Caenorhabditis elegans: one gene and its partners. The protein of the gene in region 3 interacts with the protein of the main gene of each other region in a pairwise test. Each region holds a gene or a part of one and is shown on either strand. Other genes may lie near its edges.

Region 1 (10,051 bases), on a different chromosome or scaffold from region 3:
TTTCTTTTTCACATATATCTCCCCTGTTTTACTTAAAATACAGGTAAAAGTCGTATATCATTTTCCAATTGAGATCTACTTCTACGCTATTGTTATTCTCTTTACATTTTTGAATAACCTTGTATGTTCTGTTTTAAATATAAAGAAATTTTCAGAATGAATACGAATGACCTATTCGGAGGTGTAAGCAGTGATGAAGAGGAACAATGTGTCATGCCACAACAGATGCCAAGTGAGAAGGATGTACTTGCAGATTTGAAAATGAGGTAAAGACCAAGTGTAAAAACATGCAAGATAATACTTGTATAATCTCTTCCACTCTTTTAAAAGTTTTAACCAAATTCAATTATCACTAAAAGTGGACATTTTGTTTCAGTTCGAGAAAGTTTCATGAAAAATTTTTTTACATCCCAGAATCAGGCACATCTTAATTTTGAATAATTTTCATCAGAGACAGAACCTCTAGAGTTAGTTTTCAGTTAAATCTCATTTGCGTCACAGTTGTTTAAAAATAAAAAAAAATAGTGGCAGTCTTCGGTTACTGTACCCATTTTTCATTTTCAAGATTTGTTTAAAATTATATTTTTGTTCTAGTGATAAAGAAGATATACTCGTGGAAACTGCGCCGTCTGTGGAAAAGAAGGAAGAACCTATCGTCAAAATGGAGGAAACCATCTCAATAACTCAACAGTCTTTTCTGCCGCAAATCAAGCCTCAAGTTGTCTTCTATCTTCCAAATGATAATACTTCTACAATTGTTTTTAAATCATTTTGGATGCACAACGGAAAGCCCATTAGAGAAATCGTTGACGGACAGGGAACTAGTCAATTCACTGCTTGTTTCAAAGAATCTGTATGTTAATTGAAAGCTGAATAGCGCCAGGGGGTGTTCAAAATCACTTCTATAGAACATTTTCTGATCAAAAATCCAATTGAAAAATTTCAAAAAATTATTTCAAAAGTTTTCATCTAGTTTGGCATTTTGTCAAAACTTTGACCATATTTAAAAAAAAAAAACTAATTTCAAATTTTCAGGTTCGGGAGGAAGAGCAGCGAAGAAAAAGATTACGCGAGGAAAAAGAAAAAGAAAACGCGATGAGAGCTGCTTCTCCGGAAATTCCAGCCGGTCCCCCACCCACAAAACGGCAAATTCTGGAGCAAGAAGAGAAGGAAATTATTCTATTGAAAAATCAAGTTCTCGTTGCCAACTTCTCACAAGAACAAATTGAACGATACGAGGTTTATAGAAAGTGAGTTGATTTTCCATTTTTGAATTACAGATTGCCATGGAATTCCTTTGTATAAAACTTAATTTTTACAGATCATCGTTTAAAAAGTCCACAATCAAACGTCTTATCAATGAATTCACTGGAGGAATTGACCTTGGAAAAAAGGTAGATATTGCAGTAGCTGGATTGGCAAAAGTGTTGGTTGGCGAAATTGTTGAAGAAGCTCTTGATATCAGAGATTTGGATGAAAAAGAAGCAAAAGAACCACTCCAGCCACATCACATTCGTCAGGCATATCTTCGTCTTGGAGAACAGGGAAAACTCTTACCGTCATTTGGACAAGGAAATAATTGAGCTTTATTGCCAGAGAAGAACTTTTTTCGAACAATATGGGTGTTTTTTTGTTTATATTGTTATTTCATCGATCTCTATTGTGACAAAGTTGTCTATATTTTTGGTTTATATTGGAAATGAATCATTGGAAGTGGTAAATGATTTCTATACTTCCATAAAAATAACCTTCCAATCCACATAAACTTGAATTAGAAAAATGCCGGGGTACTGTAGATTGAATCTGGTCTCCTCTCAAAAATGATTGTGATGGTTATCGTTTTTCTCAAAAACATTTGAATCAACACCTAATTTAAAAAATCTAAATTCATTTTAAAAAACGAATGAATTCGTACACGAAGTCTTGAAAAAGGAAACGCGGGCACCAAAAAAAATTTTCGATTTCTGTAATTTTCCCCCAGTAGAGTTCTACTTGAGCAAAGTAAAAGTGGAACATTTCTAGATAAGAAAAATGCTCACGAGTTGAGTATGATCTTCTAACCATCTTGATATTTTAACTTTTCAATAATAACTTTTTACACTTTAAACATGGCAGCCTTCTGATTTCACATAATGGGAAACTTAGAATTGGAAATTTCGTTTTATTTCAAAAGAAGAAAACTCAAAACATAGCTAAAAATAGCAATACGATTGACGTCAAAACAGAACTTTGAAAATATAGATTTCTGATTTTCAGGCTCTTTTTGGCATCGATTTTTTCCAGTTACATGGAAAAACAATGAGAGGAAAATGAACAATTGATAGAGGAAAAACAGACAACCGTACAGTGTAAGTTATGCAGAAAAATTATTTGTTTGGTGGGGAATACACATGTACGTGGGAATGAGATGGCGAAAAAGTCAAGAAAAAACATCAAAAAATAAATGAAAGAATTTAGAAATTTTAGAGAACAAAGTCGTGAACCCCGGAGCTCTTGTTTAACTCTTTCCATTTCCCAACTGAACTCTGCAACAGATGAATCCATTGTCATTGCCCGTGTAAAGACATGCTGAGTTGTCTGGACAAGATTGTGGAGTTCCAGCACGAGCATATCTAAAATTATACAAAATTGAAAACCATTCAATTTTTCAAATCAAATTTCACTTACGGATTGCACGTCCTATAGTTTCCAGCCAACTCGACTGGAACCAAATTAGCTGGTTGTGGTGGGCAAACATTCGGCAATCGAACATCTGACTCAAGTCCACAACAGATATATCTTTCCAAATTAGTGGAGAATTGGCAATGTCTGTTGGCTCCACAACCCTGGATGGCGTCATTGAGTGGAGCTGATGGAGAGCAGTATTTGTACTGGGCTCCGTTTTCTCCTGGTACAGGAACAAGTTGTGGTGGGCAGTCTAAAAGAAAATGACTAAATTATGAGGGTTAACTCGAAGATACTTACATCCTGTATCAACAGAGTCTGGGGATCTGCAGCAGTAGAAAGCATTGACTGATGTTGTTGTAGTTGAGAACCAGCAGAAGAAGTTTCCAGGGCAAGCTCCATCAACATTTGGAGTACATTGCATTGGTTGAAGTGAGAGAGCAGAAATGAATGGAGTTGAAGCAGCAGGGCAGAGAGCTGGAAATTAATTTTTGGAATTTTGAAAGATAAAAAGTATGTTTAAGAAGCTGTAATTAAAAAAACTAACATTGAAGTTCAGTCGAAGCTCCGCAGCAAACATTCTGATCAAGAAGTGGTGAAGAATAACAAGTGTAACCATCGGGACAACCACCGGAAACTCTTCCATTTCCACCTGGATTTGAGCATTGAACAAGTCTGCTTCCATCTCCATCCTTGGCAACAACAGTTCCTGGTGGACAGGCTTCCGAAAGACAATAGTTTTGACAAGACTTTTGAGAAGCAAAGTTATTGCGATTTCCTTCACATCCATTATATTCAAATGTTTGGCATGTCTTTGAATCAGCATTGAAGTACCATCTGGAGATTCTTGTGCTAGAACATCTAACTCCGACGTCACGTGGTTGAGAGCATACGAAATTCTTTGATGGACAGCAGAGACTCTTTGTTTGGTAAACGGTTCCAGTCCATGTGGTAACTGGTGTACAGTAATGAGTAGATGGGCATTGTCGGTTAGTTGTACAAGCACGTGCTGCTCCATTCTGCTCCTTCCATACTTCTCCTCCATCTGGACATGATTCAACTCTACAGTAATCCTTACAATCTTGTTGAGTGGCAAAGTTATTAGAGTTTCCATCACAACCATTGAAAGAGTATGTCTGACAAGTTCTAGTTGTAGAATCATAATACCAACGAGTGACAGCTGGTCCACAAGATGCTCCAGATTTGTAAGACAATGAACAAGTGTAAGCTTGAGTTGGACAACATCCATAGGTGGTTCCATCATAATAACAGTAATGATTAGCTGGACAGGTGGTAGAAGCAGCTGAAGATCCTCCACAGATAATGAAGTTTCCGTTGGAATCAGTAAGAGCGGTTCCTTGAATACATTGTGGCTCACTGCGAGCATCTCTACAGTAATCTTGGCATTCTTTGTACGTTTCGAAGTTATTAGCATTTCCTTGACATCCAGAATAGATAAACTCTTCGCAGTTTCCGGTTTTAGCATTGAACCACCAACGATTGGAATATGTTCCACAGTTACCTTGTTCTCTTGGCAACTTGCACACGTACTGCGGACGTGGACAACAGACTCCTCCGAAAGTAGTTGAGCCAGAAGTAGACTCACAGGAGTGAGTAGATGGACATGAGTTGGCTCCAGAACCAGTTGGTGAGCATTCCATGTTGCGTTCTCCAGATGAATCCTTGAGTGGTTCTCCAGCAGAACAGAGAACTGAAATATACATGTTTAAAGTTAAAATTCTTCAAAGAAAACAGTTTCCTTACTTCTTGAGCAGAATTTCTCACAGTGATCTTGAGAAAGGAAGTTGTTAAAGTTTCCTCCCTGTCCGAGATACGAGAATTGAATACAACGTCCTTCTCGCGAATCGTAGTAGAATCTTGGCGAAGTGTTTCCAGAACCATCTGGGATTCCGACATCAAAGTATTCGGTTGGTAGACCTCCGGCTGTATTGTAGACTTCTGATGGAATTCCTCCATTTCGAGAGCAGATGAACACTAAAAATTTAAATTAATAAGTACCATCTTGAATATTCAAAGGTTTTATTCTCTTAATATCAAAATTCGGTAAACTCTCATAAACTTACAGTAAGTTGGACAACATTGTTGAAGAGTTCCCATGGTTGTACATTGATAGTTCGGGTTGTTACATCCATTGTCATTTCCTTGACAATAAACTGGCTCTTGTTTGACTCCAGTTGTACGGTCACGATACAATGGAAGACCGCGGTTACAGGCTGAACAGTTTTAATTTTAAAGTAGAATTTGACTTTTTCAAATTGGAAGTTGTTAAACACGGTTAATTTTCTATGTGTCCGTCAGCAACCTCACACTATTGGCATGGTGGTAGGACGATTCACATATAGACTATTAAACTGAGTCTACTGTGCTCATTGAGGCTATATGTATACATCGCAAATTAACCATATAATTTCATTCAATAAATATAAACTCACTTTGTTTACAGTAAGACTCGCAATGATCCTTTGTCTGGAAGTTGTTGGCATTTCCACCGTATCCTTGATATTTGAGCTCTCTACATTCTCCGGTAATTGGGTCATGGTACCAATGATTCAAAGTAGTACCACCACCTGGTGGAGTGTATCCTTCATTTGGTGGTTGAATACAAGCAAATGCACGTGATGGACAACAGAAACTGATAGGATTGTTGACGGTACAATCATCAGAATCACAAATACAATCGTATGAAAGAGCTCCAATAGCTTCACACGTGGCATCGGCTCCTCCGTAGCACTGTTGAACTTGGTTTTCAATGCGGAACTTTGGATTATTTCCGTTAAGTGGACAGAATCCATAGTTGAGACACACAAGACCATCACGAGTACGGAATGGTGGTTGATTGTTGGCACATCGACATTCTCCTGATCTACAGTATGCACCTGGCCAAACGGCTTCACATTGTCGATTTTGTGTACATCCAGACTCTCCCGGATTGATTTCTAAATATATTATTTCATTTCAATTGAAGAAAATTAGTAAAAATTTCAACTACATTGCAGTTTTCACTTATGACTCAAGAAATGGAAAATTGGAAATTTATTTTTCGTGCGAAACGAGTTTATTGAGTTTAAATCCTCACTTTTCAACATTTGTTTGTTACAAATTGTTTCGTAAAAACTGTATCATAAAGGGTCAAATTGCTTAAAAACGTTTACTGATGTACCAAAAAAACGATTTAGGTGTTAGTTTGAAAGATTGAGAAAGTGAATAATCAATTCATAATTTATTTATGCATCAAAGAAGAAAATGGTTCACAAGGAAGGTAAGAAAAGAGAAAATAAGAGAAAAGCAGTCGGTGGCAAAATAAGTTAGGCTTATATATGTGTGTGTGCTTGCGCTGGTGGCATTTTTGTGACTCAAATTTTGCAGAAACGACAACTAAAATCGGATGAGGAGAAAAAAGTTAAAAGAGCAACCCGCCAGGATGGAGAACAACAACCCAGCAAAACGACGACGATAAGCAATGAAACGAAACAATAAAAAATAATGTTGATGAGCATCCGTGTTGGTTCTGGATGTTTCGTTTTGACAAGAGAAGAAAATAGAAGGACCTAGGGTATACTAAAAACACGGGAGACGAGGATAACAGCGCGAGATAAAACGAATCAGGATACTAAATTCTTTGTATGGCATTATTCGTTGGAAGATACATAGAATCACAATTTAAAATGCCATACATAGTATTTGCCAAAATAAAAAGAATATAGATTGTGAGAAACAAAGAAGAAAGTCTAAAGGGATGGGGCCACGATATGAGCTTAGGAGAACAAACTGGATGGGGAACGAAGACGCCGGGAGTTTTCGGTTCGTTGTGCCAAGAGATCTCATTTTAGAAGTTGGCACGACCCGAGCAACTCACGGCGGATATCGGGTAAAAACCTAGAAATTTTGGAGCCCGTGTTACGGGAATCGTTGTAGGGAATCTAGACGTTTTCGATGCCATTTTCACATAGATAAAAAGGAAACGAAGAATTGAAATGAAAGTTTGATGGGACTATGAAGGGGAAAAACGGAAAAGTGCCTAACATGAAAAAACGCATGCATTCAACATGAATACACAAATGTACGTGAAATATGAATAATGATGAAAACGACAAGAAGAATGTGAATTAAAGTTAGAAAGCGAGAAGGCGAGAAGCTAGCACAGCGAGAATGGGGGAAGGTGATCAGTATGGGGATCTACAGTAATCTCGTTTCTCTTTATTTTATCAAATACTTACTTCTCCAGCAATAAGAATCAATCTCGACATATGTCGTCAGACAGGCACATCGCTTATTTCCAGCACAATAATTTCCGGTTCCGCAATCTGTGGAGACCTCACAAGGCCGTCCTACGGTTCCGTGTTGGGCACGGACCGCGATAGCGGCAAGCAGCAACAGAGCCGCTAATTTAAGCATTGTGCTCGCTTATCGTTTGTTGAAAACTGCTATATCACAGTGATCAATAGGGAATAATGGGGGGAGTGAGTGGGGGGACAAACGATTTGTCGGGCGTTTGACCGTGTCCGTCGTCTCTTCGCACGACCGCAAATACCACTACCAAATATCTTAGAAGGGGCCGAGAGTCAGTCAACACGAACAGACAAACCTCTATACAGCACACAGTCACCGTCAACCCGTCGACTATGGACTTGGTGGTGCTCACGGCGGTGGCTCCGAGACCCGCCCAGTCGTTGCTCTATTACTTCCTGGGCGGAACTGTCGTCCCATCTTTCTTGAGCGCGATCTCTCTCACAATATCGAAATGGTTAATTCTCGGTAAACAAATGCGCACAGAGCTCTCGCAGTTAGTGAATAAGAGAACCTAGACATACCGATTGACCCATATTGAACTATTCAAAGAGAAAAGAGTTAATAGAAAAAGATCCCCATCTAATCACCAGAAATGGTTAAAGGAACAAGAGGAAACTGGACAAAAACAGAGAAAAACTGTAACAGGAAATATAATACGGGGATGTGGGGAGGGATGGAGGGATGGAGATGATTGGAAACAGAAATTGAAGACTAGGAAGATGTTGTTGTTGTTGGTGTTTGAGATGAAGGAGCAACCGAATCAACAATTGGTTTTACCGAATTCGTTATCGAGCTTGAAGTACCGTTTTCAATTGGAGCCTCAGAGTTTGACTCTCTGAAAAATTAATTTTTAAAAAGTTTTTCAAAACTTCATTTTGAAATTTACCTCGTTGATGTTTCATTCTCCTCTTCCTGAACACCTTCTGCAATACGAGCAGCACGAATATCAAAAGCCACTGCAATTGCTTTTTCGACTCCTTCCGAATCCAGCTGAAATTAAAGTTTTGATATTTATGTGTTTTTTGAAGTGTTTGGTTTATTCTCTCTTCTTCTCATATTATCATTTTCAACGCGCATGTTTGTTAGCTATGTGTCGAGTGACCATCAGCGTGCGCTAGCGCTATAGAGGATAAGCATCATTATGAGCAACTCGATAGACCAAGAAAAAAAGGTCACCCCCCCCCCCCCCCATCATCCAACGTGCAGTGTGTTTGCCGGTGTCCTTATTTGTTGAGAAAGCCGTAAGAGTCTCTCTATCAGCAGATTATCCTTTTCTGCATTCTCCACTTAGAGTGAGCGAAGAGAAGAAAAGTTTAAGGGAGAACGCCAACAAAGTCACTCACCTGACACATAAAACCGTGTGTAATCAGATTTTCAGTCAAAGTTTCTGGATTGTCACCCTTGTTGATCGACGTTGTTAATTGCCGATGCATTTGATCTTCTAATAGAAGAACAATTGACATTTCTCTGAAAATTAATTTGTTAATGTAAATAATTACATCAGGTTTCATCAGATGCGAACTTTGCACTTTTTTCCTCTAATATACGATACCCGGTCTCGACACGACAATTGTTTTCGCAAATTCAGAAAAGTGGGTGCCTTTAAAGAATACTGTAGTTTTAAAATCTAGTTGCTTCGGAATTTCCATCGATTTTCATAGTTTTCCGATAAAAATATATTTATGTATTTGAAAAATATATAATATACAAAGTTAGTAACTTTCGTTCAAACTTCTACAAAATTTTCATCAAAATTTCATAGTTTTTATCTTGGTTTTGTCCAAATTTAAATTGTTGTACTTTTATATTTATTTTTTAAATATTTAAACTTTTCATCAAAAAACTATGAAAAGTCTATTGTAATTCCGAAGCAAATACGTTTTAAAACTACAGTACTCTTTAAAGGCGCGCGCCTTTTCGCATTTAACATTAAATTTTTCGTGTCGAGACCCGAATCATCAAATTTCGGGTCTTATTTAAAATTCTATCAGGAAAGGGTGAACTGATTCAGGAAGTATACTTTGAAAGAAAAGAAACGTACTCATTTTCAATATGCACATTGATCTCCAAAATGTGTCTATTTTCTAACCGCATATCTCTCTCCCCATTTGGTTCTCCTTCTTCTTCCGGAGTCGGTGATCCAGCATCACGCCCATTTGATGATCCTATTGTAACATTTGCTCCATTGACTTCAACTTCGACTTTACTCGTTGATTCCGTACTCGTAACTTCACCGATTTTCTTATCAACTGCTTCAGGACTTGCTGATTTACCGATGGAAGATGGTCCATTTGTATTAGTTGTTGTACCACTTGGCTGTGATGATTGACCAGGTAAACTAGTATTAACTGATGTTTCTGCAGTGATTGTTGAGTTGGCTGAAGGATGCGTTGATGAAGGAGCAGATATATCCGTAGTGATCAAAGTCGATGGATTAGTCTGAAAACTCTATAATTTTCATAGATTTACACAAGTTCTTTCTGTATCTCATACATTCGAATATGCCCGTAATGTTGTAGATGGTTGATGTGCAAGTGGTGCAAATGCAGTTAATGGATAAATTCCATTTCGAACATCATCGAGAAATTTTTCTAGATCAACTTGAAATGCGGCCACTTGGCAATAAGCCATCTCTCTTAATTTCGACGTTGCAGCAATCTGAAAAACAATGTAGTTTAAATTAATGTACTTAGTTCACTGTATTCGATCAAAAGGTAGTGTAGATAACCGAGAAGCGCCGACAAAGTGACCGACGAATCAAATATTTACTTTTGTGGAGGGGGGAAAGAGTAACAACAAAACGAACTCCTCATATGGCCATTTACCCGATAACTTTTAGAACGCATTAGTCTATGTGGGGATTCAACTTACTGTTTCATTGTCTTTTATTCGGAATGCACTTTCCGAAACATCTTCATACTTTTTCGAGTCGACAATTGCGTGCGCAGAGAGCAATTTTAATGAGTGAACCTGAAATTTTGGTAATTATGCTTCAGAAAAAAATGTCATTGAAATTTGTATTTGAAATTTTTTGACTCGCGAAGTATACAACTACCACACTTGGAATTTTTTAAAG
Region 2 (8,596 bases), on a different chromosome or scaffold from region 3:
TCTAATCTAGGAATGGTCAAGATACGAGCAAAAAGCATAAAAACATTTCCTTGAAAAATTACACTTGAGAGTAATATTAGAAGTCGAACGTCTTCACAAAAACGCGTTCATTTGCTGTTCGGCCAGAAAAGTACTAATAACAGGAAAGCGATTAGTTCAAAAGTAATTATTCAAACTCTCTGGTATGATGTATTAATGGAAGCCTGGAAGGAAAAATAATTTGATTAACCAAAGTCAATATTACAAAAACGATGTCAAATCGCTCGCTCTTTGATTTCCCCGTTTTATGATTCCCGCGGTATTATTCCCGCGGTTTCCATTTCATGACCGCCGTCGCCCCATCATTTACATAATTCGATCAACTCTTCCGTATATAAGACTATTTCTTGGCCTCTTGCAGCACCCCTCAATCATTCAGTCAATCATTCAACCAACTTGTATTTGCTATTATTATTTAATAAATATTACTTTGGGAATCACGTTTAAGATCTTAACCTGTCCTCAGGACAATAACGATGATGTCTGAAAATATAAAAATAAATATCTGTATGTACAAAAATAACCAAGCTTTATGAATGCGATCTTTTTTCCAACGCTAATATTTTTCTTCTCACGTTTCTGAAAAAACCCGTTTGAAAATAGAATTTATCATTTATATATTTTTTAACTTGTAACACTGTTTATGTTCTTTATGCATATTGAAACTGTTTCAGTACGTACCGAATCTATAGACGCGCCGAGGCCAATAATCGATAATACAACGAGGTGGTCCATATTGTGCGAGTAACTTGTGACTACCTGTAAGAAAACGGGCTAAACGGAAGAACAACGTTCAAAAAATAATTCATCCCTCCAAAATCCACAACAAACGGTTTGCAATGTATGCATATTTATTTATAGGCGTTTTTCAAATACATTGGGTACATAAGAGATCTTGGTCAATCTTTCACGAGAGGAGAGTAGAAAAATATGTTATAACATCACATTAAGAGAATAATCTGGTGGAAAAATCAAAATAATCACTAGTAAAGGTGACGAAAAAAAAAAATTTAAATTACAATTTTTTAATTGCCGAAGAGAAACTTGTTTTGAATTCAGATAGGGCAAGAAAATATGGAACATTTAGTAAAGAAACTATTATAGGAATCGGAAACTCTGACACATCCTTCAAGATCTACATGGAAAGTAAGATGTGCCACAAATGAAGATGTCGAGGAAAAGGATTTTGTTCTTGAAGGATTTTGACGATGGCAACAAGAAATATTGGGTATTGCACCCTTGTAGTACAACGAGTACATATGTTCTATCATGTTTAATCAATGAGTTGTATGAATCTCCTAGAAGGGGGAGATAATTTAGATAATGGAGGGGTGCATATACTACATAACAATTAAAAATAGCATTGATCCCATGTTATCTTCTGCTGACAGTCTAAACAACTGATAATTGTATACCTGCATCTGATTCTATTTTTAGTTTTACCTATAAATCAGCAAACTTGGTTAATAAATACCAATATACTTTAATGAAAATTCGTGTTAAGGAGTGGTTTTCTGAAACTGTACAACACTTTGATTGAAAGCTTGTTTGAATGTTAACTGGCTTGTATGTTTTGATGTTATATTCAATGGGCTGTGAAACAACTTTATTGTAGAATTTAAGAATAAAAATTTAAACCACATTGAAAATGCAAATTATGGCAGTGAATGCTATTAAAACATAAATTTCAAAGATAAAACAAACTTTAATTTAACCTATCGTTGAAAGGCATTTGCATAATGGAAGACGTGAAAAATACAATTAATTGACTAGATATAGAGATTCGACTATTTGAGGCGGTGTTGTATGAAAGTATTGAATATAAGTACAAATTGAAAAACATAAATATGAAAGAAATGGGCGATGTAACCCTGTCTGACTGATTTTTTTTAACACAAAAAATTAGCATGGTGGCTTTGGTGGGCACTGAGTCAATCCACGGCATTGCTGGGATTCTTCGGCAAGACCGATGCAGTGACATCCGGATTCTCCAACACATTGACGGCTTCTGTAAGATATAATTCAGATTCTTAACATGTCTTCATCAAAAACTATTTCAGACCTAGATTGTACTCCAACTTCGCATGCAAGTTGTGTTGAGCATGGACTCCATTCGCACCTGGACATTTGAAAAAACTAATTAATACCAATGTAACAGTTTTAACTACCAAGTATTCCAAGCGCATTGAGGAGCACATGACTGACTGTTACATTCCTTTTCTTCACGATCTGGTCCATCGCAGTGGCATGATGAATCCGGACTTCCAGCGCTGTTCAAACATGTACGAGTGCGAATTGACTGTAATTCATTATTACCCCGTTCTGAACATATATTCAATATATCTCACCTGACCACCCCCGCATTCCTTGTCGCACATGGACCAGTGACACCACTCAGACCAGTTGCAGCAAGATTGCCCTTCGCAAAGGGTAGTTTCAATACTTGGTCCTTGGCAAGTAGTGGCTTCTTGCCCGTTTGGTCCAAGGCACCCACGAGTTCTAGTCCGTTGTCCGGGTCCGCACTTTGAAGAGCATCCTGACCACTCGCACCACTCTGTCCACTCGGCACATGGAGGTCCGTAGCAGAATTGGCTCTCTTCGTTTGGTCCTTGGCAATCAGTTCCAAATTGGCAGACACGTTGTCTCCGCTTCATTCCGCTTCCGCATGAAGCCGAGCATGTAGACCACTCTTGCCATGGAGACCAAAGAGAGCATGGTCCACCATCACAGGCACGTTGTTCAGTCTTTGGTCCTTGACAGAGATGATCACCGAAAACACCTCCGAGACATGTACGCTGACGAACTGCGACTCCTTGTCCGCAAGTCACAGAGCATTGTCCCCAATCTTCCCATTGAGACCATTCTGGGCATGGTCCAGCACTGCATTGCTCAGATTCGTAGTCCTTTCCTTCACATCTGTTTGTACCAAGATGACAGAATCGAGTTCTCTCGCGTTGACCTGATCCACAGCTAGCAGAGCAAGTTGACCACTCGCACCATTCAGACCATGTCTGACATGGGCCAAGATTACATGGCTCAGTCTCATAATCAGCTCCTTGGCAGTTATTGGTGGAGCATTCACGTCTTCTTGATTTAGCTCCATCTCCACAGGTGCATGAGCAGGTAGACCAGTCAGACCAATCATGCCAAACTCCAGAAACAACTGGTGGGTTGACACATCCTTGTCCATCGCATGCTGGCGGTGGTGGGGGAGCTGGACGATATCTGGTTGGGTAGGGCTGTGGAAGTGGTGGCTGAGTGGCAGTGTTGATCACTGGAGCAAGAACTGGCGGTGGTGTTGGGCGTTCTTGTTGTGGGGCCTGTGGAACTGGGGCGCAGAAACCTCCTGGGCATGGATCAGCCTTTGGACGAGCTGGATGTCTCTGATTGAAGTTCTCGCGGTATTGAGACATTCTCTGCTGATAGAGTTGAGCATGTTGATCGAGTGGAGAACGCTCAAGTTCTGGTTGCTGCTGTGGCTGCTGCTGTTGCGGATGTTGTTGTGGAGGGACTGGCCCACTTTGGAGTTGGATTTGAGATTGTCCGAACTGTGTTGTCTGTTGTGGCTGTTGCTGTGGATTTTGTTGACGTTGCTGCTGTTGTTGCTGCTGTTGTTGTTGTTGCTGCTGTTGTTCTCTCTGCCTTTGAAGATGAAGCTCGTGAGTTCCAGAGAAGGACTGTGGCTGTTGTGGTGGTCGCTGTGGTGGCTGTGGCTGTGGTTGTGGCTGTGGCTGTGGTGGACGTTGCTGCTGCTGCTGTTGCTGTTGTTGTTGTTGTTGCTGGTGCTGCTGAAGACGAGCCTGATGTTCTCTGTGTTGTTGTTCTCTTTGTTGCTGTTCCCTTTGCTGCTGCTGTTGCTGTGCACTTGGGTACTCTGGGGCACGTGGCGCATACTGCTGCGCTGGTGGAGCTGGGACTCTTTGTGGAGCAGATCTAGCTGGACATCCACGACGTTGGATTTTTCTTCCGTATTCGCATGCCTGAGAGCGCACCTCGTGTCCGTTACTGGAGCAATGGGACCAATCTGTCCAATCTCCGACTCCTTCAACAGCTTCATCGCCTTGTTCTAAAATCACAACTTTATATAAACCGAAGTAACGATCGAAATCTTACGTCTCTTCTTTCTGTCAACCTTATCGGTAGACGAAGCCAAACCGTCCTCCTCCAGTGGTGGATGAGCATCAAATTGGTGGCAGTCGACGACCAGTTCGAGCATTCTAACAATATCTTTCTTGTTTTCTGGCTTTTGCTCGACAAGGTCAATTTTATCTTGAACCGAGTTGTCGGAGAAGAGGTAGCAGAAATGCTTCTTTGTTTCGTTATGCAAGTAGTAGTAAACCACTGAAAACAAGTTGAACTTTTTTGTGAAGTTAATGTTTTTTTAGTCTTCATGACCCCAAACGCAGAGATCAAATTTCGAAGACGGAGTTTTGCGAATCAAGGAGGGGCAGTGTAAATTTGCAAAAGCAATCAGTTAAAGAAGCAGAAAAAGAGATATTTGCGGATGAGTGTCATTTGTTATAGATATTGCTTGACACATCACATCAATCTTCTTGGGCCGGATAGGATCCGGTGCAAAAATGAAAATTTTACCTGCGGAGCACTCTGGGAAGATGTCCACGCATTTCTTCTGACACTCGTAGGCGGTTGCCTGCATCATCAGCAATGGAGATGATCCTTCTGAAATAATCAAAGTGGTACGTGGACACACACGAAGTTAATGACGGATAATTGATTTATGTTTGTTTTGCTGCAAACACCTAATGCGTGAATTGTCAATAAATGAAACTAAAACAATAATTTATTTTTCATCAATGATTTTAGAAATACTAGTTTTTAGATGACTTGTATCAATTTTTTAGTGAAACGCATATGTTAATTAGAAACCAATAATATTCAAAAGGAAAATAAGATTTTCAGAACAATACAGTTTTTAAAACCTAGAGAAGTTTAATGAATTATAGTGATGAGATAAAATATTAATTTTTCAGGGGAAATGACCTGATGTAATTCAATGAACTTACCAAGAGCAGTGTTGTTGTGCATTCTGGCGCACAAATCATCAATTTTTGTGACATTTTTTCCTCTGGATACCGAGATTCTACCTGAAACTTGTTTTTCTTACACTTGCGTATCAACTTCACTGTTAGTAATACCTTTTGTGTATGACAAGCTTGAGGTTCATGCTTTATTTTTTTACCTATTACACCTTACTTCTCGCCCTCTCATAATGAAAGCTGAACCTCAAACCAGTTTCCATCTATAAACATATATACTCACCTGCGTCGGCTAGGCAGAACAAGACCGCTAAGGCGAATAAGCCTACAGTAGCCTGCATGTTGCGGCTGATAATGGACGGGACCGCGGACACGAGAGTGCACAACAAGTGACTGACGATGATACTGGGCGGAGTCGAGAAACAAGAAGAGAGGTAAGAAAAAGAAGAAGATGAAGAGGAAAAAGAAGAAGAAGAAGCTGAAACATCAGGGAGTGATAAAAAGAATGAGGAAGGGGGTTGAAAATACTACTGTAGTATAGGAAAGAAGAGAGGTATCAACTTTTCTTTCTATTTTTTTTAAGGAAAAATGCTCTACGCTTCTACTCAAACCAAAAGTGAGGCTAAAGATCAAAAAGAGTTGTGCGGTGAGCAGAAAAGTTAGAGAGAAACAGGAAGCAGTAATGGATGCTGAGAACGTTTTCAAATCGAACTCAAAGCCTGCGAGTATGCATTGATTATGATCGAGTCTTGAAGAGTAAAATACTAGACCAAAACAGAAATTATTCAGAATTGAGCAAACCTGTGCGGGTCAGAAAGTCATGTTGCCTTCAGGAAGTAGCAAAGATTAAAAAAAAACAATTAATTTTAAAAAGTATACAAACTTTCAAGTGAAAAAAAAAACAAAATTGCTTTTCTCATAGGTAATCTGTTTGAAATTGGAATTTGTTGTTCCTATTCATATGTCTTTTGGTGTATTAAAACCCCATATCTAAACAAAATAAGTTCTCCTCCCTATGTCGTCACATATCCATCAACTCCACTTTGAGTGATATTTTATCCTCGGCACTTTTCTTCGTTTCACAACACAACACAACATTTCGCACACATTTTTCATCCTCGTTATTTATTGCACAGTTGTTCAATTTAAAATCACTTTGAGGAGGTCCACCGCGGTCATTTGTTGCTCGGAAACTATACTATAATGTTCGAAGATGAGATTGATGACATTCTAGGAATCGACTCAAAAACTCGAAACTTTTGGTTTCTTGACAAACCCATATCATGCGAGCTTTTCGAGGTTGCAAACTTCAGGAAAGCATGCATCCGAAACGTCGAAATTTGAGCGAGCTGCTGACAAGTGCTGATGAACAAATCATATCCTTCGTGTTTTAATAAAAGCTTGGTGGCTGATGTGTCAGGCGAAAAACGAAAAAGAAAAGCAAAGAAAAGATAAGAGCAAGTCAGAAGCGGTATGGGCAACGGAAGCACACGCGACAATTTTTTCCACGAATCAGTGAGAAGCGAAGAAAGAAGAAGTTCAGGTGAAACATGAGATTCTGCTGAGAAGTGAGCAAGACAAGAGCAAAGCAGAGAGTTTGGAATGAAGCAAGTATGAAGATTATATGATTGATAGGCGGTGACTCATTAAGGTGGAATTACAAAAAATGTGAAGAGCTCATTCTTAATCACTACCAGTTGTGGGTGAATAAAATGGAGTTATGGAGACAATAATTTATGATTTAAAATATATCAAATCACTAAAAATTTCACTGTAAGTATTAAAAAAATACATCCAAAACCAGTCGTCTCATTTTGGCAGTTGGGCACATTACAACGCTGAATGCAATTTCAAACTCAATCGAAATTATGCAGCCGTAAGAATCAAAAATACTGTGAGAGAGTACAAATTATCGGAAAGTAATTTTAAAAAACTGCCCCCCCCCCCCCCGAAATTCAATGTGCCACTTCTCTTGGTTTATTCTACTTTCAGTCTCCAATTTAAACAAAAATTAGATTTTACACTCATTTCATATTCTGATTTTTATCCCAGACTGCATGTGACCACGTCACAAGTGTCACTTTTTGATTTTTCCGCAGCATTTTCTTTACGTTCATCATCCCTTAGCGTATCACAAAAATTTATTACACTTATATTACGAATACGCAAATCATATGAGCCAGACATGTGCAACAATGTGGAATGAAAAAATACATACAAATATACAAATACACAGAGGGTCGGGTGAACATTTAAAACTGAAAACCAAACTCAAAATTCAAAAGAAAAACGCATCTAAATCGCAAGACATCGGCAGTCGTATAAAGTGTTGTAGGTGTAACGGAAGTTCATGCACTTGCCAGGGCAATATCCTTCAGGATCCATACATTTTCTGCAGAACAAAAACTTAATAACTTGCTGTCAGTGTCAACTTCTCTCAAATATTTTTTTCAAATAATTTACGCAATCTTAACGTACCTTGTAAAAGTGTTGAATCCGCAAATGTGTGGAGCTAATGTACCTCCTTGGACATTAGGGACAGGGTTGTAATCAGGAACTATTCCTGACCGTATATTTCCCTGCAAAGCAAAAATGTTATATGTTCTCAAAAAAAAAAACATTTTTAAGCAATAAAAATTGTTGATGTTTACCTAGCTCACCTGATTTGCTCCATACCAGTGATTTGGGGCATACGGCCATTGCGACAACACTGCACCAACCAATAAACAACTAACGATGTAAATTTTAACAGTCATGAGATGGAAACGATGAAAAGTGATGAAAGTAAGTGAAAAGAATAAAAGAAAGGCGACGTGATGATGTTGTCAGTTAGTGAGGTAAAACGAGGTGAACACGAAGATTGATGGCGTCATATGTATCACAGTTTTTGTAATGGTTTCGTTCAATTTTTGACATGAATTGTTTCAGAAACCGGTGTATTTGAACCCTGACACTCATGGTGATTAATTCTGTTTTCGAAATTAAAAGGTGTTGAGAGGTTGGAAAAAACAATACTCACCAACATTCAAATAATTGGAAAATTAAACTTTCTATAAAAATTGTTCTGTAAAATTTGTTCATTGACAAAAACTGTTACTGTTACTCTATCGTATAAAACTATCATGTGTTTTATTATACAAGATAAGATAAAGCCTCTTTTAAAATGTTATCCGTCATAATGCATTTTAACAATTTTTACTAAATTATTATTATTAATTTGATCGTTTGGGCAATTTCGCTCATGTTCTTTGTTGGTGAAAAACTTTACTGAATGATAATTATTCTAATAAATTATTGCACATTTATTTCCAAAAAAATTAAACTATGTTGAAGTTTAGACATTTCAGTGATGTGTGTATAACAAAGAAAATGTTTCAAATATATATTAAAACTGCTTTCAGACACGCCATCATTATTGCTTACTTCCGTTTGTTTTGAAATATTTTTCAAGCAAATATGAACCTAGGTACGTTTCTGCCATAAAACTTTCCCTTTTACCAAGCAGAACCCAAACGCATGTTGCTGTTGTGATCGTTCCGTAGGTCGCATAATAAAAGTAT
Region 3 (5,711 bases):
GTTCATAAAGAGGGAGGGGGATAAAACGTTTGCTACATTCTACAGAACATAATAACTAAGAAGTGGTAGGAAACGTATAATCTAGACAGATAATGTTCGTTTCTTGTTATCTTGAAGATTGGAATGTTGTCGTAATTTCAGATTCAACAGCAGCTTAGGATTCAGATGGATGTGGTGATCCTGATGTATCCTCTTCGTTGTTTCGTAGACAGACGTGGTTTTTAACAAGTAGAAGATCTCTTCTTGAAGATTGGGTGAGTAACATCTTGCAAATGACTCTCTTGATGATTGATGTTCAGATTGCACAACTGATGGAGCTTCTCCACACTCAGTGTAATTATACACAAGCAGGCCATGTCCATATTGTTTCCCGCTCCTTTGAACATATATTTTTTGCGGAGTCGTGGACATGACAGCAAAGTACTGTCCATTGTGCATAATTGAAATTCCTGGATGGTGTCTTTTCTCACGCAGACTCTCAGATGGTTGTGGTAGTCAAAGCGAAGCGGAGCTGATGTCTCTTCTGCAATAATTAAAATTTGCAACGATTTTCTCATTCACTAAGGGCGTCAATATTTGAGAAATTTAGAGTCGTATAACTAGTGTATAAACTGTGAGTATAACACTTACCAATATCAGACCACGGTCCCACTTTGTCTGTTGCCAGTAAACAGAAGGTAACATCCTTTCCATCTACAAAAAAAAGGCAAATATGCCTTTTCCAAAATGGTGGAGCTTCTGGTACTTGCGTGTTGAGGCATCCAATTTCTTCTCTGAAAATTAAGATATTACATGTGGCTTTTTGATAGTTAACTAACATTAAGTCCGACTGGTTAACCAGATATTTTAGCTGCCAATAGCTGTCGTTCCAAAACTTTGAATCCAGCTTCAGGTAGAAAGTCCCATCATTAGCAATTCCGGCAGGTAGAATGAATGGGCAATATTTGCTCGATTTTCCTCCCAAGACATCATTGACCAAATCGTGTTGCATACCGTCATTCTGTAATATTCATTTTATCAAGTTATCATTTCGTTTTTATTTAACATACGGTTTTTGGAAAATTTCCCTTTTTCAGAGGCTTGTACAGACCAAAGTTGGGACGTGGTGTTCTGCCTTCGCAAGTGTAGTCGTACATGATCGGAGCGTGGCTAACCACATGCTTTGAAAAAGACTCCATCAGATAGTAGACCTAAAAACAATGGTTTCTGAATTTCTTTTTTGGATTATTGTTTTTTTAAATTTGATATGTTACTTTCACTATGCTCTCCCTAGAGTAAATTATGTTTCTTAACTATTAAATAGAATTAAAAATGTCATCCTTTATCGGTGCTTACAGACACACAATAACGGAAAATTGTGGCGAGGCATTTCTGGGCAGTGGAAACTGACAAAAAAAAAGGAAAAAACACGCTCTTAACCTTTCGAAATCACATGAGAAATCTGTGTCCAGAAATTCCCGCATTGCAAGTAGATCAAACAGTTGCGCAGCTGCACAGAGATGAATCGATGGAGTGCGCAGACACAATGAGAAAGAGACGACCCTCGTGGGAGCATGTACTCTTCTAGATCTTCAAAACACGCAAAAATCGATGGAAAATATGATTATTTTTAGAGTCGTCGAAGGAAGGGGAGGAGTCTAGTCAACAAGGTAGATCAAAAATAAATTTTAAAAAATTTGCTATCGTATTTTTTCGATAATATTTTTGTTCATTTCTCAAAAAAAAAACCAATTAAAATAATTTCTAGTTACAATATTTGTATTTGTACATTTCAAATCACAAGTTAATTCGAAGCAAAACTAGAAAAATGACCCGAGAATCTGATATCAAGGGTCTCTGTGTTCAGGACATCATTTTTTAAAAATATTTTCCACAGGATCTAAAAATAAATGCACTTTGGGAATTAAGCGCACATCATTCTGATAAGATTTAGAGTGGAAAACGATTTTTTAAGAAAAATTTATTGAGATTAAAAATATATCGCTGTTCGACATTTAAAAAAAAAACTGTTCAAAGAAAAAATTAAATATAGATCACAAAAAAATTATTAAAATGATGATAAAATGAAATTCTAGCACAATTCGATTTTCTTGAAATCGTCGTCTCGAAGGACATGCTGGATTGTCATTCCACATTTTCGCTTTCTGCATCCACTGATTTTAGGATTGGGAGATTCCAGTTCTCCAACAATCTGTGAGTAGTTGTCCAAAATGAATTTGAGTTGTGTTTCCGATAAATCATTGAATCCTCCAGAGTCAACTTTCAGTGATTGCTGACATTTTTGCTGTCGATTGGCAGAGTAGGCTTTGGATTGGAGAATAGCTGCTTGTGATAGTGTTCCTGAAAATAATTTACTAAGATTTAAGAGTGAATAAATTTGATATTAATACTCAAGTCTTCATAACTGCCTATCGTCTTTCTATTTTTTACCAGGCATCCTTGTGCCTACTTTAAAGCTTCAACTAACCTGGTGCAAATGTACCCTTGGCTAGTACCACCTCGTCTCCTGGCTGCCCAGTTGCTTTCATTGCGTCCAAATGAGTTCTCAGTTGAATTTTGTTCTCAAAAATCCAATGGCAACAACTACACGACTGTACATCTACATATCCATGAGCATGTTGCAAGTGCTTCTTTATACTTTCTCCCAGAATCGGAGCACCTTCACAGTTTGAGACGCAGATGAGACACGTGTGATTCTTGGTGTGAAGTCTGTCCCTATGGCGAGTCATTGAGCCCGTTTGACTGAATGTAAGTTGACAGTAACCGCAGATTGGTGCTTCAGATTTAGGCGAAAAATATGGAGGCATTTTCTGAAAAAAAAGAGATTTAGGAAGAATAGTCGTGAAAAAATATACATTTTTAAAGAAAACACACAATCTTTCGATACAGACCGAATGAAGAGCACACTGGGTTAGAGGAAAATGTGGTGAATGAATGTGTGGTCTTCGTTACATACACAACGTGTCATGATGGGTAACTAGGCGGAGTCCATCGACAACCTGGCGTTCCACCAGGTTTACACCCGACCAAGTACTGCGTTCATGTATCAAATTGCGGTTGGACTCTATAAACATCCAATCAATAAACAGTGGTCTGCTATCCGCTGAGTTCAAGCAGAAAAAGTGAATTTTCAGTCATACCGTTTAGTGCACAAATTGAGATTGAATAAAATCGACCATTTATATGCAAAATTAATAGATTTCCCAATTTTTAAAAATTCATATCTGGCTTCAAACTAGCTTTTTCAAAAATCCCTGCAGCCATTTTGTTGCAAATTTTGTGTTCTTTCAGAATTTAAAAACCAAATTTCCTTTTACCTTTTCTAAATGAAAAACCTTTTCTAATTGAAATATTCCAATGTTTGGTATAATTTTTCAATTGCTACACCATTTTTCGATGAATTTCTCTATTTTTTTCGATTCTCAACTATAATGGTCCTATGAAAAAAGCACCTCGGAAAGGAATTTCAACACCACATCATCAGTCACAATATGCAATTTTATTAACATCGGGATTTTTGGGAAATTTTGGAAACTTGTCGAACTAGACTTTTCCATCTAGTTGACCTTTTTCAAGAAAATCCGTCTTTGACGATTATGTGTAAATTGTTCATTTGAATAAAAAATTTAATTACTCCGTTTGTTCCGTGGGCAAACGGAAGGCAACACCCATTTACATTGAAATTAAAATCATGTTCTTCTTCCTATTCTTCAACATTTTCTTCACACCAACAGAAGCGGATCTAATTTGTGTGGAGTGCTTCTTCTTCTTCTTCTTTTTCTACGTTGTCTTGTTCAAGTATCTAGTACCAAAATGGGAAGGAACCAAAGAGAGAGAAGAAGGACAAACAAAATCGTAAAATGAGAGAAATAGGAGGAGATGGAAGATTTTATTGGTGAGATTAGAGGAAACCAAAACTGAAAGCACCTCAACAACTTCTAAAGTCTTTTTTTCTGGTTTCAGTATCACTTTGGTGTACTGTAGGTGTCAATAGCCTTTACCTTGAAAGCTGAAAAAAAATTTTAAATTATTTAAAAACTTTCAATGATTTCAATTAAAATAATTCATCAGACTGCCTTGATTTTTTCGCTAAAATAAGATTCGAAACGAATATTTACCAATTTTCAGATATTTTCGTCTGTAAAAAAATTGATAGCCAGAAGAAATTTGTATCTAACATATTTTGAAAAAATTTAAAAAAAGTTTAAACTTTTAGCAGCTTTTAAATCGGAAACAAGTTAGGAAATTCAAATGCAACGGAATTCCAAAATTAATTCAGCTTTTTCAATTTTGTTTCAGTAGGTATAATCGTTTGAAAATATTATGAATTTTATTACACAGTGAAAATGTTTACATTTTCTACATATTAAAGCAAAAGACAAACTCTGTATTTAAATTCCAATTGGGAATGAGTTCACGACTAAACATGAAAATATGAAATCTCAAAATTTTGAAGAGACTGTCAATTAAATTGGTTTTTGGTTGCTATTTTTTCATAGCTCCGTATTTTTCGTTTTTTTTTCTGCATCCAAAACCGGAACACGCAATCTTTCCCTATCCCCCGACATCCTCTCCCAACCGAAGACTACTAATTTTCAGTTTTTTTCCCATTACGCCGCTTGTATTTCGATAGTTGTTATTGTTGTTTTGTTAATGCTCTCTACCTCCCGTTCTTTTTATTCTCTTTAAAATTTCTTTATCGTGATTCTCTCCCACTCACTCACTCAACCACTATCTACATTCGGTGTCAAAAACAACAACAACACACCGTCTCGTTTTCATCCTTTTTCGTTTTTTTCCTCTCGTATACCCGCTAGCAATTCGAGTTCCACAAGCGTTAGCCGGGCTACCAGTTGTTTTTCAGCTTCTCACGTTCTCGGTTTACATAAATTTTCACACTGGGAGGTATAGGTTTTCAGTTAGCTTTCAGTTTTCAAAGCGTGCTTCACGTCTTAAAAAAAGTTTTTAAAAAAAATTTCAAACCTATAAATCCAGTCATATCGTAATTTCCTAGTTTTTGAAACTCACACTAAAAGACGCACAGATATATTTGAATGGGTCTCACCTCGAAACGCCAACAAGTAGCTCTTTTTACTTTTGATGTTTAAATTATTTCTTGTTAAAAATACATTATAAATGGGAGGCTAATATACCATATTTCTACCAGTAGGCCCCCCCCCCCACTTTGATGGTCTAAATCAGGGCTGTTTTTTTTTTGTTTTTTTTGGTTTTTTGTTTTTTTGATTTTTTTGGTATTTTTGGGAAAAATTGATTTTTTGGTTTTTTTGGTTTTTTGACGCCAAAAAAACCAAAAAAACCAAAAAATCAATTACAGCACTGATTCCGCAAAAAATTAAACAAAAAACCTTCTGTTCGTTCAATTTTTAATATTTTATGAAAAATTCCGTTTTGTCCCGTTCAAAATCAAACATTGAATTGTTTTTTTGTTTTTTGTTTTTTTGTTTTTTTGTTTTTTTTTGGTATTTTTGAAAAATTCGATTTTTTGTTTTTTGTTTTTTGGTCCAAAGTTCGACCAAAAAATTTTTTGTTTTTTGTTTTTTGGTCGAAAATTTTTTTTTGCAACAGCCCTGGTCTAAATCTCAGTTGTCTTAACTTTTCTCAAAAAACCTTAAACAACCAAAATACAACAAATATTTTGCACACGTACTGTCAGTGGACATATTTTTGATAAAGCCAAAGAGAACCGAGAT
Region 4 (8,425 bases), on a different chromosome or scaffold from region 3:
GCGGCCATAACTCTTGATAAAAACTGATTTTCAGAGATTTAAAACCACAAAACTTGCTTCTCGACGAAGACGGTGTTTTAAAACTCGCAGACTTTGGTCTAGCCAGGGCGAAATCTGTGCCGAGTAGGACATATTCTCACGAGGTGGTCACTTTATGGTACCGCCCGCCTGATGTTCTCATGGGAAGTACCGACTATTCAACTTCCCTGGATATGTGGTAGGAGGATATTATTTTATAAAAGGTACCAACTATATCTACTAACTTTGCAGGGGAGTCGGTTGCATATTCGCTGAAATTTGCACGGGCGCCGCTTTGTTCCCGGGATCCAAGGACTCTCACTACCCCGGCACCAAGGACCAGTTGGATATGATCTTCAGCATTCGGGGTACTCCAGACGAGAAAAAGTGGCCGGAGGTGAGGGAATCTAAAATCTAGAGATAAAGATGTTTGTTTCAGGTAAAGACATTACCAGGCTACACCCCTGAACTGTTCCCCAGGTATCGGGAGTTGTCGTTCATCGCGGTGAACCCGATGTTCACGAAGATTCTGAAGACTGGTCAGGAACTTCTGGGGATGCTTCTTCAGGTAAGTAGACTTGTAAAAACCACTCCTTTAGTCCCGAAAAGACCGAATATCATAATAAAACGTTTCAAAAAAATTTTGAAAATTTTTTATTTACTGTAATTTTACCACTCATAATTTTGGAAGTCGACCAACAAAAAAAAAATTTTTTTTCCTACATTTTTATACTGTAATTGTGTTTTAATTATTTGTATTAAAATATTGTAGGGGTCGGAACATGCGACATTGCTCTAGATTTCCTCAATTGCTCATTTTTCAAAATTTTAGCAGTTTGCCAAAAATTTGACCTGAAATTGTGAAAAATCTAATTTTTTGGATTGTTTTATTATGAAATTTGGTTTTTTTTTCGGATCATTATGTATGTATTTTGACAAAATTTTCACTGGCGCTACTCCACCTTTAAGTCAGTCCAGGCCTACTAGTCTAATCTTTGACAAATCAGTCTTCGCGAGCTATATTGAGCAGCAATCTTTGAGTGCAAGCTCAAGCCGAAAGCTTAAGCCCTGGCTGCAATGCTAGTCTAAATGAATCGACATCGAGCTACACCTATCTTGTAACCCTCAAAATTACAGCTCCGCCCGGAAAGCCGTGTCTCCGCAGCCAGTGCAATGCTTCACCCCTACTTTGCCTCATTCCCCCGCGAGGTTCATCTCCTGGCTCCAAGCCAGTCAATATTCCGGCTCAAAGAGCTGAAAGATCTGCGATCACTATAACGACCAAATCTACTACATCTCCAATTTCTTTACACATATTTTCTTGCTCCAAATTGCTACGGGTGCTAAAAGCTAATATAAATGTATGTATGTACTTATTTGTTTTATTAGTCATGTTGAATTATTATTACGAGGTGGTATTTATGTGATATGTGAGAATCGGAGGGAGTCGCTTCAAGTTATGAACGTGTTCCTGGGCATGGGTAGCATTGCTGAAAACTTTAAGATAAGGAAGCTCATTAAACCAACACCTACCGCTGTTCCGAAGTCTCTCTTCCTCCGCTTCAGACCAGTATCCTGTGTACAGATGTTACAGTCTTCTCCCAAAAAGTTTCTCTTCACTCTATGCCGACACTGTGGGAATGCCATGCAATTCTGCTCCGAGACGTTGATATTCGGCTGCCCGAAGTTTCTCTTGACACGATGTGGCGTGAGCCCAGAGACTCCACACCTCGAGCACTTCTTACGACGGAACACGGCTTCTCGTTTGGTTCTCTTGTCTGCATAGACTTTTTGGAAGACTGCGTACTCGACGTTGTTCAGGCAATCGTCACTTTGTTGGCAGGAGCGGCGTTGCTTTCTGCGGGTCTCGATGGTTTCCTCAGAGGATTCGTCGTCCTGAAATGAAAATTTTAAAATCCGCATTGATGTGACGCCAGTTGAGATCTCTGCGTCTCTCAACTCCCGCATTTTTTGTAGATCTACGTAGATCAAACCAAAATGGGACACTCTGACACCACATGAACCAGATCAATTTTTGGTGTGCCACGATGAAGTACACGCGTAAAATCCAGTAAATTGTTGAAATCATTGTGAAATGACCACGCCAATAATTTTTTGAGTGTAAAAAGTCATGAACTGTGTCAAAAAAATGGTGAAAACTGTGGAAATCCCATGAAGAAAGTCCATTTTAGGCCAAATTCGTCACTTTTGGGAGTTAGATGTGCAGGTGGTCTCGCCGCGAATACAGTATCCTTCTCAGTGGCGCGTGCGCGCGTGATTCAATTAGGGGGTTTTTTTTTTGGAATTTTCAAAAAGTTCTTACAGGATCTAAAATTTCAGGTCTAGTCCTCACCTCATCATCATCATCAAATCCTTCCTTATACCCCTTCTTTGCTCTGATATCCGCGATAGCTTCGCTCATCGTCATATGCTTCTCCACCTTCTCGACTTCTCTCTTCTTTCTGCTAGCCAAGGCAAGTGTCACCCATGCCGGACACGGAACACAGGATGCAGCATTATCCGGAGCGAAGAACTGCCGCTTGACTCTCTTGTGCTCCTCCATCGCCATCTCGTACTCTTCCACCAGCTTCTTGTGCTCCTCCACAGCTTTGTAGTACGTGTCGAGCCGATCTGCATTTCTCTTTCTTCTCTTCTTCTGAGCCAGAACACAGGCTGGGAACTTCATGCATCCTCCTGGATTGTTGCCACCTGAGGAGGCCTTGGATAGGAGCTTCACGATATCCAAAATTCCTTTTGGATTGTAGGCTTGTCGTTTGCTTCGCTCATTGATACTGAACTCATCGTTATCACACTGTTCATCTGCATATCTTTTCTCTCTTTTCAAGCACTGATCTCTCTCGGCTTCCCGCTTCTTTCTACCGTAGTGTCCATTGCATGGCTCACAATATTGGGATCCGATCAGGTTTCTCTTATAGCGACGGACATGCAGGGTACATTGTGGATGAGGAAGGCACTGCAAAAATAAATTTAGCTTCGTTAATTTCTATGAGTCAAACTCACGCCAGCTCTCTTAGTTCTGTGCCCGGCGAGTGGAGTTCCAACTGGCGACTGCGATCCGCGTGGCGTTTGATCTCCGAGGAACGGGTTCCAATCAGAGTATTGTGGTTGTAGGTAGGTACACGGAACACAATCGAGAGACCGCTTGGTTCTCTTGAGCGGAGTTCCGTTCAGACACAGCTGGCATGCTCCATTTCCAAAGTTCATGTTTCTCTTGACTCGAACGTGGGCTCTTCGGAAGTCGTAGAGTCTTCCGGCTGTTGGAGGCGATTCCACGTGGTCAGAGGATTGTTCGATGAGCTTTTTGGTGACGGACACTTGAGATGTCTTGGTTCCAGCAACGCGGGATTTTGATTTTATTATGGTCTTTACCGGCTTTGAAATCAGAGTCGGTGGGGATTGTTGACCAAGGAGTCCGACTGAAAATTTTTTATTTATTTTACTTATTTTCAGCGTTTTGAAAATCCACGTGGTGTCAAAGTGTCTCATTTTGGTTTGATCTTCGAAAAATGCGGGAGAAAAGACGCAGACTTTTCAACTGATTTCGCATGGTTAAGAACATGCTGTTGGGAATTTTTTGGTTTTTTTGGTATTTTGACGAAAAATCTAAAAAAAAAGTTTACCGTGTCTAGTGTCGACTCGAGACTATTCTGTATTAAAATACATTAAAACATGTATTTTAACACAGTTGTGACGTCATAAATGTATTTTAATACATTTTGCAACATTACTTGAATAACCCCATTAAAAATCAACTTAAGCATATCAAAAATTTTTTGGTTTTTTTTTTGTTTTTTTTTTGGTTTTTTTGGTTTTTCAAAAACTTCTTTGGTCCAAAAATTTTTTTTTTGGTCCCAGCCCTGATGCTGACGTTACATTTTCCTGGGCGAGAAATTCCCGCATTTTTTGTAGATCAAACCACTATGAGACAGCCTGACACTACGTGAAAATCTAAACTTATAGCTTACTTGGCTGGCAATGAAGCCCCGGTGCGTCTCTCTTAGTTCTCTTCCCAAGCATCAGACGTTTTCTGCAAGGGCACGATGGACAGGCGCGAAGGCAAGGTGGGACCGAAGCGAGGCAGTTATCCAGCTTCAACTCAGGACAGCAAGGCTGTTCAGGTGGGCAGCAAGCCTTTTGCCCTTGATTACAACATGTGGGGTTCTGATAGTAACAGCAAGGTCTTCCGCATCCACAATCTCCATTCGGACATCCGGACCTGCACGGTGTTCTTCCATAAGGCTGTGATCCACAGCATTGCGTTGGAGCTTCCGGAGCCGGTGGTGGTGGAGGTGGTGGCGGTGGTGGAGCAGCAGGTGTTGGTGGAGGACAGCAAGTTCTTGGTGGGTTTGGTGGTGCTGGGACGCCTCCAGGGTTGCCTTCCTCGTCCTCGTACTCTTCGTATTCGGGGCGACGACCTCGGCAGCAGGGTTTCGGGCAACAGTTTGGGGTTGCCGGGCAGCAAGGGCCGAAGGCTGGCTGGCAACACGGTTTTGGTGGGGGAGGTGGCGGACAGCAGGCAAGTGGGATTGGTTTTTGAGAGGAGCAGCAAGCTGGAATTTCAATTGTCTCATTTCGGCTTGATCTACGTAGATCTACAAAAAATGCGGGAGAAGAAATGGGAGACGCAGATTTCTCAACTGATTTCGTATGGTTAAGAATGTGATGACGTCATTTTTTTCTGGTCATAAACTTCCCGCATTTTTTATAGATCAAACCGTAATGGGTCAGCCTGACACCACGTTGACAAGTCTTATAGAATCGCAAACTTACAGCTCGAACAACAAGATCTATTCGGGAAAAGATCACATCCCGAACATCCACACGAGCATCTCTTCCTCCTAGTCTCCAATCTCAAGGTGAGCGGAACCAAGTTCGTCTCATTGGCACCAATGAAGTGCGGTGGAAGATCAGCTTGTCGAAGATGACTGTCGTATTTCACTGTAATCAAGATGATTAGGAAACGTTTAGGTGAAATGGTGGATACTTTTCATAGGAAGTACCAGGTCCACATGATCCTCTGGGAATCTTTCAGGAGCACTGTCGGCCAAAGCCAGCACGAGCACGTTGAGCGCTATCGCCCAACTACTCCAATGCATTCTGAAATGGTTGGCAATTGGGGGATTTTTGAGAATTAGCAGAATTCGGATAGAGTCAAATAAAATTAGCTCGGCATTCGGCTCTAGCTTCATGCCCAAGTTTGGCCCAAAAATATTAACTTGGAACAGAAGTTGGCTAAACTTGGGCAAAAGTTGGGCAAAAGTTGGGCGAAAATTGGGCAAAAACTTCTACGCAAGTTCGAAACAAAAAAAGTTTAGGCCAAAGTTTGTTGGGTGAAACTTGGGTTAAACTTTGATATTGCCTGAATCCAAGTTTTGCCAAAGTATTGCCCAACTTCTGATCCAAGTTAATATTTTTGGGCTAAACTTGGGCAAGAAGCCCAAATGCCGAGTGTTCAAAGCACCTTACATAGTTATCCAAGCAAACATTTATCGAAGGTTGCAGAAAAAAAAACGGATGGCAAATGGATATTGTAAAAAAAAAGAAAACATGAAGAAGACTATATTTTTTCTTACTAAAACTTTCTTCCTTAAATCTATATATTCCTAAACTTTGAGACAAAAATTTGTGTGCTTTTATGGTCAGAACTGTATAAAATAGACGCAGAATGCATTAAAGGTGGAGTAGCGCCAGTGGGGAAATTGCTTTAAAACATGCCTATGGTACCACAATGACCCAATATCATGATAATGGTGCGTCCATAGTCTGCGGAAAACGGGAATTTCCCGCGTGCGGAAGCGTCCATAGTCTGCGGAAAAAACAAGAAGTTTCTCGCTTTGTTATTGGTCAATTTCAAAATAGTGGGCGTGTTCAACCAATTAGAGGCTGTAAAATTTTAAGCTGAGCAATGAGAAAACAAGAAACAACAGCTGATTGGTTGGCCACGCCTACTTTTTTGAATTTCGAGGAAAAAAAAGCGAGGAACTCCGGTTTTTCTATGGACGCACCATAAAAAATTCAAAAAAATTTTCTAAATTTTATATGATTTTTTGAAAATTGAAAGAATCTCAGTTTTTGCCTAATTCCTATTTGAATTACCGCCAATTGGATTTGTTCGATGGAGCGCGCTTGCACGTTTTTAAGTTTATTTATTTTATGTTTTGTTATTTTCCACCCATTTTAAATGTTTTTTATGCAAATTTTCGATTAAAAAGCACGCTTACAGGCGTAAAAATGAACCTGAATTGATTAATTTCACTGATTTACCTGTACGCTTGCTTTTTAATCGAAAATTTGCATTTATTTTGACTTTTTCTCTAAAATTCAAGCAAAAATACACCGAAAACATTAAAAATCGGTGGAAAATAACAAAAAATAAAATAAATAAATTTAAAAACGTGCAAGTGCGCTCCATCGAGCAAATCCAATTGGCGGTAATTCAAATATGAATTAAGTGAAAACCTTAGATTTTTTCAATTTTCAAAAAATCATATAAAATTTAGAAAATTTTTTTGAATTTTTTTATCATGATATTCGGTCATTGTGGTATCATAGGCGTGTTTTAAAGCAATTTTCCCACTGGCGCTACTCCACCTTTAAATGCAGAAATTTTCGCAACAAGAATGACCGCTTATAGTAGTCTTCTGAGTCTTCAAATTAAAGTAAAATAGGCCGTCTTCAGTCATTTCAAGTCAGGGTAGAACAATTTCCCTAATAAATAACCATGATGTTAAGCAATAAAAGAAGAATGGCAAGTTGCATAAGAGAAAATCCAAGCGCAAGCCGATGGAATCGTTTGAAACAATGAAGTGAAGCGACGAGGTGGGATAACCTGTCCTCCCGGGCGGAGGCGTGTATTTCTCGAGACAATGGCGGACGGGTTCCACTCTTATCAGATGTCTTATCAGTGGATGTATTCTTACGCGAGAAGGCGCTTGTTAGCTCATAGCTTTTTGTCGAGAAACGAGTGTGTGTGTGTGTGTGTGTGTGTGTGTCACCTTGTGAGGAGAGGATAAATTGATAAGGCAAAATTGAGAATTGAGAATCGGATAAGAGGAAAAAGCGTCTTTTTTTTGTTAAACGTTTGTATTGCTTTCTCGAAATTGCCTGAAAACACCGAATTTTCTATTGAAAACTCATTAAAAACCTTGAAGATTAGCAAGTTAGTAGGTAGGTTAGCAGGTTCCGGCAAATCGGCAAATCGCCAAATTGCTGGAATTGAAATTTCCGGCCATTCGGCAAATTGGCAAATCGCTGGAATTGAAATTTCCGGCAAACCGGCAAATTGCCGAAAATTTTCGGAAAATTTTGGTTTCGCACTTTTTTTTTTTTTTTTTGAAATTTCCGAATTTCAATTTCAAATGGCAAAATTGAACGCATCCTATAAATGTTCCAACATCTATTTTGAAAAATAAGTAAATTTTATGAAAATATGTTTAAAAAAACGGAAAAATTCAAAAAGACACCGTTTTAAGTGTCTTTTGTTTAAATTAACAAATTTTAGGCCATTTTTTGAGCCTTCATAACTTTTTTTTTGAATAGATTTCAAGAAGTTTCAATATGAAATTCGGTGGTTTCAGTCAATTTTAAGTCTACACGTGGTGTCATAGTGTCTCATTTTGGCTTGATCTACAAAAAATGCGGGAGAAGAGACGCAGAGTACTCAACCGATATCGCATGGTTAAAAACGTGCTGATGATGTCACATTTTGTTGGGAGTAAACATTCCCGCATTTTTAGTAGATCAAACCGTAATGGGACAGCCTGGAACCGCGTGAGTTTGAATTAGTGTGTTTCAAAAAAGAAGTACCAATATTTTATTGAATTATTATTGCGTTCCATACATGAAATCCAAGTGATTATTGCAATAGAATAGTGAGGCCTGCAAAAAACTAGAATAGAAATCTATTAAAAATTGGAAGGGGAACATCTACATGTGTCAACCGGACAAAGAAATAATTCTTATCATAGAAAATGGGAAAATTGTGTGAAGACAAAAAAAAACATATCCTAGAAAGGGGGCAATCCTGATGACTATATATATATATATTTATCAAAATCATTGTGCATGGTAAGAAAAATTATTAATTATTATGAGAAGCTGCAGGCGGTTGGGGTGAAATTGAAGACAAAAGCGAAACCAGTTTTTGTGTCATAAAGCGGTGGGGGGGGAGGGGATAGGCGGCGGGATGTGGTGTAGTGTGTCGAAAAAAAAGTGGATATAGATATTACAAAGAAATTACTTTGGGGGATAGGAAGTGAGCTCAGATCGGGATAAGGAGTTGTGGTTTTTTTAAGGCGAGAGGAGAAGAGAGAGAGAGAGAGAGAGAGAGAGAGAGAGAGAGAGAGAGAGAGAGAGAGACGGAAATAGGTCCTTGAGTGAAGACGGC

Evidence for each region.
Region 1: the proteins of sdz-38 (region 3) and K10D3.4 interact in a two-hybrid assay, tested with the Caenorhabditis elegans proteins (one large-scale study listed by BioGRID).
Region 2: the proteins of sdz-38 (region 3) and T21B6.3 interact in a two-hybrid assay, tested with the Caenorhabditis elegans proteins (one large-scale study listed by BioGRID).
Region 4: the proteins of sdz-38 (region 3) and ZC123.1 interact in a two-hybrid assay, tested with the Caenorhabditis elegans proteins (one large-scale study listed by BioGRID).

What each region holds. Positions count from the first base shown.
Region 1 is NC_003279.8:7,132,592-7,142,642, forward strand, and holds K10D3.4 (BPTI/Kunitz inhibitor domain-containing protein), read right to left. Parts: upstream 7,383-10,051; 5' UTR 7,081-7,382; coding exon 6,903-7,080; exon of another isoform or gene 5,891-6,902; intron 5,622-5,890; coding exon 5,118-5,621; intron 4,899-5,117; coding exon 4,749-4,898; intron 4,660-4,748; coding exon 4,429-4,659; intron 4,376-4,428; coding exon 3,212-4,375; intron 3,142-3,211; coding exon 2,965-3,141; intron 2,918-2,964; coding exon 2,668-2,917; intron 2,613-2,667; coding exon 2,498-2,612; 3' UTR 2,147-2,497; downstream 1-2,146. Other genes in the region: taf-11.2 (Transcription initiation factor TFIID subunit 11), read left to right, coding at 157-266, 595-853, 1,036-1,250, 1,322-1,583; hpo-11 (Protein kinase domain-containing protein), read right to left, coding at 7,687-7,810, 7,862-7,965, 8,319-8,442, 9,017-9,414, 9,469-9,633, 9,847-9,945.
Region 2 is NC_003284.9:10,943,526-10,952,121, forward strand, and holds T21B6.3 (Apple domain-containing protein), read right to left. Parts: upstream 5,428-8,596; 5' UTR 5,378-5,427; coding exon 5,320-5,377; intron 5,145-5,319; coding exon 5,064-5,144; intron 4,800-5,063; exon of another isoform or gene 4,736-4,799; intron 4,720-4,735; coding exon 4,633-4,719; intron 4,381-4,632; coding exon 4,153-4,380; intron 4,106-4,152; coding exon 2,388-4,105; intron 2,339-2,387; coding exon 2,208-2,338; intron 2,159-2,207; coding exon 2,102-2,158; intron 2,048-2,101; coding exon 1,942-2,047; 3' UTR 1,635-1,941; downstream 1-1,634. Other genes in the region: K09C8.7 (uncharacterized protein), read right to left, coding at 7,332-7,428, 7,515-7,615, 7,697-7,792.
Region 3 is NC_003280.10:9,978,941-9,984,651, forward strand, and holds sdz-38 (C2H2-type domain-containing protein), read right to left. Parts: upstream 2,921-5,711; 5' UTR 2,856-2,920; intron 2,811-2,855; 5' UTR 2,808-2,810; coding exon 2,468-2,807; intron 2,341-2,467; coding exon 2,072-2,340; 3' UTR 1,946-2,071; downstream 1-1,945. Other genes in the region: ZK892.6 (uncharacterized protein), read right to left, coding at 222-523, 631-773, 819-1,000, 1,050-1,136.
Region 4 is NC_003279.8:834,707-843,131, reverse strand, and holds ZC123.1 (Sperm mitochondrial-associated cysteine-rich protein-like), read right to left. Parts: upstream 5,137-8,425; 5' UTR 5,031-5,136; coding exon 5,024-5,030; intron 4,978-5,023; coding exon 4,810-4,977; intron 4,590-4,809; coding exon 4,005-4,589; intron 3,456-4,004; coding exon 3,040-3,455; intron 2,993-3,039; coding exon 2,372-2,992; intron 1,915-2,371; coding exon 1,552-1,914; intron 1,509-1,551; coding exon 1,476-1,508; 3' UTR 1,386-1,475; downstream 1-1,385. Other genes in the region: cdk-14 (Protein kinase domain-containing protein), read left to right, coding at 35-217, 271-415, 458-586, 1,156-1,296.